Linked DNA regions of Saccharomyces cerevisiae S288C. The protein of the gene in region 2 purifies or fractionates together with the protein of the main gene of each other region. This does not show direct contact. Each region holds a gene or a part of one and is shown on either strand. Other genes may lie near its edges.

Region 1 (3,084 bases), on a different chromosome or scaffold from region 2:
AAGCAGAAATAACACCAATTCCTTTGTTAAAGTGGAGTTTCATACCGATGACGAGCCGACAATGCCCATCTCAATCGATAAGGGTACAAGGATTTCTGCCACTGAAGCATCCACTAAGAGTTCTCAAGGGAATGGATTCAACCCAATATGGGATGCTGAAGTTTCTATCACATTGAAAGATACAGACCTCACATTTATAAAATTCATGGTTATCTCTGAAGAGACCCAGATTGCATCTGTTTGCCTTAAGCTGAACTATTTGAGGATGGGATATCGTCACATTCCGTTGTTTAACATGGAGGGGGAACAATACATATTTTGCACTTTATTTATTCATACACAAATTTTATAGGCGATCTTTTTCCGGCCAAATACACATATTCATAAATACGTACATATACCTACTTGCATATACCAACATGATTACCTAGAATGGATATATCAAATGGGACGACGAAGTACCACGACAATACACAATAACAACTTCTGTTTTTCGCTGATTGCCTTCTCTTCAGCAGAAAGTTGATGCATATTTCGCGTAGCGCGTTGACGCGTCTTCTTTCTGAAGTTTTGTGCTTTTGTTATCATACTATATAAAGTAAAAAGAAAGGAGAACATATTAAGCATTACTGAATTAGGATCCTTTGGAAGAAATAAAGTAAGAGACACTGAAAGATGATATCACCATCAAAAAAGAGAACCATTTTATCAAGCAAGAATATAAACCAAAAACCACGAGCAGTGGTAAAAGGCAATGAACTTCGTTCACCATCAAAGAGAAGGTCACAAATAGACACAGACTATGCACTAAGGCGAAGTCCAATAAAGACAATCCAAATTTCTAAAGCTGCACAATTTATGCTGTATGAGGAAACGGCTGAAGAAAGAAACATAGCTGTCCACAGACATAATGAAATATACAATAATAACAATTCTGTGAGCAATGAGAATAATCCTTCCCAAGTAAAAGAAAACCTTTCACCCGCTAAAATTTGCCCTTATGAAAGAGCATTTTTAAGGGAAGGAGGAAGAATTGCATTGAAGGACTTAAGTGTTGACGAATTCAAAGGTTACATACAGGATCCTCTCACCGATGAGACTATACCACTGACGTTGCCACTGGGTGATAAAAAAATCAGCCTACCCAGTTTTATAACGCCGCCAAGAAATTCGAAGATATCTATTTTCTTCACTAGTAAACACCAAGGACAGAACCCAGAGACAAAGATATCCCGTTCTACCGATGACGTCAGTGAAAAAAAAGTAGTGAGAAAACTGTCCTTCCACGTCTATGAAGATGAGTAAATAATGTACACAGTTAGCGTCTAATAATTAATTAACGATACCAATTTAATTCATTCACGTATTCCTCACCTCGTGTGTAAATTACTAACAGAGTAGTAATAATAATAAGAATCAATAATAATAATAAATCCATCCTTGTGTATTACCCGGGTTAGAGGGTAGAAAAATTTTTGAAAATCGCGATGAGCTGAAAATTGAAAATATTTGGTTATAACATAAGATCGATAAATTAGGAACAGTGCATTATACAGTGGACTCATTCGGTTAGAAGCTTTAGACGTCGTACCTTTTATATCGATACAAATAAAAATAAAATTATACCATGGGAAAGGCTGCGAAAAAGAAGTACTCCGGAGCAACTTCGTCCAAACAAGTCTCTGCCGAGAAACATTTGAGTTCAGTATTTAAATTCAACACAGATCTAGGTCAGCATATTTTGAAAAATCCTTTGGTGGCGCAAGGTATTGTTGATAAGGCACAGATTAGACCCTCAGATGTTGTTTTGGAGGTTGGTCCTGGTACAGGTAACCTAACTGTAAGGATCCTCGAACAAGCAAAAAACGTAGTGGCAGTAGAAATGGATCCCAGAATGGCTGCAGAATTAACTAAGAGGGTACGTGGCACACCTGTGGAGAAAAAGTTAGAAATCATGCTTGGAGATTTTATGAAGACTGAATTACCATACTTTGATATCTGTATTAGTAACACTCCTTACCAGATCTCATCGCCTCTGGTTTTCAAATTAATTAACCAACCAAGACCACCAAGAGTATCTATTCTTATGTTTCAAAGAGAGTTTGCTTTAAGATTACTGGCAAGACCAGGTGACTCATTATACTGTAGATTATCCGCCAATGTACAAATGTGGGCTAATGTTACACACATCATGAAAGTGGGTAAGAATAACTTCAGACCGCCACCACAAGTGGAATCCAGCGTTGTTAGACTAGAGATTAAAAATCCAAGACCGCAAGTGGATTACAACGAATGGGATGGTTTGTTGAGAATCGTCTTTGTGAGGAAAAACAGAACGATTTCAGCTGGCTTCAAATCGACCACCGTGATGGACATTCTGGAGAAGAATTATAAGACATTTTTGGCGATGAACAACGAAATGGTGGATGATACAAAGGGTTCTATGCACGATGTCGTCAAGGAAAAGATTGACACAGTTCTGAAGGAGACCGACTTAGGCGACAAAAGAGCGGGTAAATGTGATCAAAATGATTTCCTAAGGCTATTATATGCTTTTCACCAGGTTGGTATCCATTTTTCATGAGCTCTCTTATCAATTATGTAAGTGCTTGTATACTATTTACCTAAGATAAGAAAAAAAAAAGCAATTCAAAATTAAGCTTATCTTGACAGCGGGGCTGGTTTGTTTCTAGAAGACAAAAAGTGGGGAATCATTTTTACGTAACTCCCCCTGATAAGAAGGACTCACATCCTTATAGGTACGATAAAGAATGGTTGTATCTTTCCTATTTTTCGAAATCGTTATCTTATATAGTTGAACTACTACGGTTAAAAAGCTTAAGCCTCAGCCCTCTTAGTCAAACTTCTTTTTTGAAGGCACCAGGGTGCATAAAAGTGCGTCTATTGTTTCCCAGTGGAACTCTGTTGAGATAGCGATGTTTGTTTTTTTTTCACTTAACGGCAACCAATACCGATAGCGACGTCGCTGGCAGTGTAGAGTGGCCGTACGGCGTCGCTAGATGGCACGGCACTGATTGCGGCGGGAGTCGCTAGGCGGTGATGCATTTCCGCACAGGGACCAGA
Region 2 (4,652 bases):
CTAGATAAAATAGATTACGAAGTTCAAGGTGCAACCGAAAAAGTCATTCATGTTGAATCGGGACAATTTTTGAAACCCCATGAACTCGAGTGTTGGACTGCGGAATTTGGATCTCTACAGCCTTTTCAAGACGTTGTATTTACAGGAGGTGATGATTCGAGAATTATGGCCCACGACTTACGTTCCAAAGAATTCATTTGGAGTAATAATCGTATTCATGATGCTGGTGTTGTTAGCATTAAGTGTAGTCAACCTAACTTTCGAAATAATAAACCCACGTCCATAATAACTGGATCCTATGATGATAACATTCGTTCTCTGGATTTAAGGATGATGGGTGAGTCCATATTTCCTGGTGCAAATGTCCCCACAGTTAATAAATTGGCGTGTGATCTTGGTGGCGGTGTTTGGAGATTTGTTGAATCCCCCATTGATCAGGAACAATCTCACCACAACGGCTCCGATCGGCTTTTAGTTTGTTGCATGTACAATGGTGCCAAGGTGGTGACCATGAATGATAATTCCGATGAGTATTTTCAAATTCAACATTATCTGAAGAAGGGCCATGATTCGATGTGTTACGGTGGCGACTGGTCAAATTCTTTGATCGCAACATGCTCATTTTATGATAATTCCTTGCAAACATGGATAGTTTAGAAAAAAAAATTCAGTCTGCAATATATGGACTAATATATAGGCTAATATATAGGCTAATATATAGGCTAATATATAGGCCATATTTTGATGATTTCGATAGATTATGCATAAAGAATTGATAGGAAGGAACTTGCCTGAACAATAATCTTTTACTCTATATTTTCTACTTATTATACATGATTCAGAAGCTTTGTTGAAAGGGGGAAAGACCGAGCGATATAAAATTGATGAAAAATTGATATTACAGCATCAATTGACATCAATCATTAAATCATCATTAGCTTCCTGTGGATCAACAAACTCCCTGCTGGCTCCTGCCAATAGTTCTCTTCTAATCTCAGGACCGATATCTTTATGGCCTCTTTGACGAACAGTTTCCAACAAGAAATCTCTCTGATCCTGGGTAATATCGTTCTTGTAACGTTGTGCAAATGTTAAGAAAGCCTTGTGCCATATCACTGGGAGTACTCTTGTAGCATCTTCCCCATTACTACCGTCATCCAAAATTCTAAACCTCATAAAGTAATACACGCAGTCGTCCACCGTCTGGTACGGTAAAGCATATTTTTTATCGAGCAATATTTTGATAAAAACAGTTGTAGGTGGAGAGAAAGGTAGCCTTAAAAGATAACTCAAGGCAGCTGAAGAATGTAAAGCCGGAACAGAGACTTTAGCAAGCACACTTCCTGCAATTGTCGCTTCACGTACATTACACCCTGTTTCAACCAATGGGAATAGGAAACCTTTGAAGAAGGCACTTGGTTTATAAAGCGATTTTTTCACCGCACGGTATATATGATAGTTTAAAGAGTGGTCTTCACTGGTCTCGATATTGTCACGGAAACGTTCAAGTAAAATTAGGTTAATAAATTTTTGAGATTCTTTAGCAGTTAGGTTGGATACAAATAATTTCGTTGCTTCGTAAACAACGTGTGGTGACCATTCTTCCGGGTTGGTCACATAAATGACATCTTGCCAATTTCTTAAGGATGGGATAACCTTGAACAACTTTGGCAACTTACCGTGCGTCCAAGTTTTTAAAATACTACCTACCGTAGTATATGCTTTGATGACCTTCTCTGGAAGTGCAACACCCTCTCCACTCTTCAAACCGGATGAAATATTGCCTCTTGAGGTATTCTGTTCATTAGCAAGTGGTTCATCATCTTGCATATCTTCAACTTGACTTTCCTTTTCTCGGATAGAGGCCATAATCTTGTCTGCAAGATTATAGCTACCACTTAAAGAGTTAAAATCATCTGATTTCTTGAAATATTGCTCAAACATCGCTGCGTCTTCTTCATCGATTTCAACTATCTCTTCCTCTTCTTTATAATCACCTTCGGGTTCAAAATCGGAGATGTCTTCTCCAAAAGCTTCTTCGTCTTCGTCTTCGTCTTCGTCTTCATCATCATAGCTCATGGTGGTGAATCTGGCTTCAAATTGCTTGTTTCTTTCTGATTCAGCAAGTTCCTCACCTTCAATTTCATCCTGTTGTTCCTTGGCCAACTGCAAAATTTTTCTTGATGCTTTGGAGTCTATGTATCCATCTTCCTCATTTGCAGCATCGTGATTTGCAGCATCGTTCTGCGCTAGCTTCTTTTTATTGATTTTTTTCAAGGTACCTTGAGCTGCATCTAAATCCTTTAAAAGTGGATCATGCCTCTGTTTTCTGGCTTTAGTAGAGGATGCTCTGGCCATTATAGTTAATCTTTCTAATATATTGTTTTATCTGTAAGTCTTAAAACGAGACAAATCTTGGATTTAAAACAACTTAGTGCATATTTCCTTTCGTCAATGTTGAAGAAGTGGGAGCTCATCGATTTTTAAAAATTTTCATTTCCGATGCCTCGCTAAAAAAAAAAAATGAAAAAGTGGAAAAATATGTTCTATTTCTTCCCCTACTGACACCACCAATAATACAACCATATAAGTTGGTACAATTTCTCCAAGCTGTACATCCTCTTGTGTTGTGAAATGTCTGATTTAACATCTATCATTATTGCGTATATAGACTGAGTCAAGATTATAAAGTATACATATCCAACCACATTACTCTTCATCCATTCTAACCTTTAATCCGTGCTCTAGTAAATACTCCTTTACATCGTTAACAGTGAATTCACCTCTGTGGAACATACCTGCACCCAAGCAAGCATCTGCGCGGGTCTTTAGGAAGGCCTCTTCGAAATGTTCGGGTACACCGGCGCCACTGGATGCAATGACGGGAATCTTGACCGCATCTTTAACATGTTCTATCAATTCCAGATCATAACCAGAATTAGAGCCATCCTTGTCTATGCAGTTCAATAAAATCTCCCCAGCACCTAGAGCTTCACATGCCCTTGTTAATTCCCACACACCAAGGTCTCTAGATTCTCTTCCACCTTTGATTGTACATTGGTACCAGCAGTATTTCTCTCCATTGGGGCCCGGATATTCTGTCTCGAAGACTTTGTTCTTCGTATCTGCTTGTGAATTTACATATACTCTCTTAGGGTCGACAGAAATAACAACTGCCTGAGCACCGTATGCTTTCGAGATTGTCTCTATTGGTGACGTTCCATCTCCTCTGTTACCCAACTCGTAGTATTTTTCGGCTGCATAGACTGCATCCGTACCGATCGATACTTTATCAGCACCAGATCTGAAGTATAGACTTGCAACTTCTAAAGCAGGTATTTTGGTTCCATCAACATCGACAATATCCTTGATCCCCCCACCGACTGTCAATGGAACAAAGACTGTCTTTGCGGCTTGTTTCAGAACCTCTAGCATCGGAGTATCCTTCAAAGGACAATCTCTAAAAGAAGTTATATTCAAAAATGTTACTTCATCCGCACCCTGTTGGTAATATTTCTGTGCCAACTGAACAGGCTTACCAAGGTTTCTAACACCTTTACCATCACTTTTTTCACGTACATCGTATTGATCACCTTTAGTAACCACCAAATCACCTTGGTCATTAGTACGTACATCAAGACAAGCAATAATTCTGCGTGTTAGACCATAATTTGAATAGTCATTCATTAAGAGTTCCTTCTCTTCCGCACTATAGTTTGGAATCGGAGGACTTTGTTGCTTCAAAAAATTCTCAATGACGTTCAAACCAGCTTTACCTGATTTTTCAGGATGGAACTGAGTAGCGAATATATTATTCTTGTTGACTGCCGCAATAAATTCCTCTGAACCGTACTTAGCTTTTGCAATTTTCCAACCGTCATTTTCTAGGTTTTTTTTCTTTTCTGAATTCAGAATGGCAGCAAAAGAATGGACGAAATAGTACCTCTTGTATGGATCCAATCCAAAGAATAGGTTTTCCGAGGGAATGCAAGAATTCCAACCTATTTCTGGTACTGGCTTTTCTGAATCATCGAACCTGGACAACTTAAAATCAATGTAGTTCAGACCCGTACTCTTAGGGCTTTCCACGGAACCGGCAAAGAGCGCTTGTAGCCCGACGCAAATTCCCATTATTGGTTTTCCAGATTCAATGTATTCTCTTATCGGCTTTTCGAATCCTCTATTAAATAAATTGTCGACGAAATGGCCATAATTTCCGACACCAGGCAAAATCAATCTTGACGTGCCTGATATGTTAAAATCCTTTGGTGATTTCACCAGTTGTACTTCGTAACCTAAATGCTCAATTGCATTGGTTAGTGACTGTAGGTTACCACTTTCAACGTCAATCACGTGAACGACCGGCATTCTCTTTTTCTTTACTTGTAAATAATTAAAAAACCTAAACTGGATACTGCTACTTCAATAGCTGCCTCTTTTCTTTTAAAACCTGATTGAGTAGTCGTCGATATCAAAGGAATATCAACTTATGTATGTTTCGATGTCTGACTCTTTTCTCATGAATTTTTCATTTTTTCATGATCACCTAATTAGCCGTGGAGAGAGAGAAAAATAATCCCAAAGCTACGATATGACTCAATTTTTTTTTGCAGAAGAGTAACTGATAGTATAACATCCACGAAATCAGTGAA

Evidence for each region. Proteins that work in one complex are often made in the same cells at the same time.
Region 1: the proteins of ENP1 (region 2) and DIM1 purify together in Saccharomyces cerevisiae (affinity purification with mass spectrometry; 11 studies listed by BioGRID, with this or other methods). This does not show direct contact.

The regions. Positions count from the first base shown.
Region 1 is NC_001148.4:37,494-40,577, forward strand, and holds DIM1 (putative dimethyladenosine transferase), read left to right. Parts: upstream 1-1,627; coding exon 1,628-2,584; downstream 2,585-3,084. Other genes in the region: PLC1 (phosphatidylinositol phospholipase C), read left to right, coding at 1-352; ACM1 (Acm1p), read left to right, coding at 676-1,305. UniProt on the Saccharomyces cerevisiae protein: Specifically dimethylates two adjacent adenosines in the loop of a conserved hairpin near the 3'-end of 18S rRNA in the 40S particle.
Region 2 is NC_001134.8:712,098-716,749, forward strand, and holds ENP1 (snoRNA-binding rRNA-processing protein ENP1), read right to left. Parts: upstream 2,359-4,652; coding exon 907-2,358; downstream 1-906. Other genes in the region: RRT2 (diphthamide synthase), read left to right, coding at 1-657; HIS7 (imidazoleglycerol-phosphate synthase), read right to left, coding at 2,710-4,368. UniProt on the Saccharomyces cerevisiae protein: Required for normal export of the pre-40S particles from the nucleus to the cytoplasm.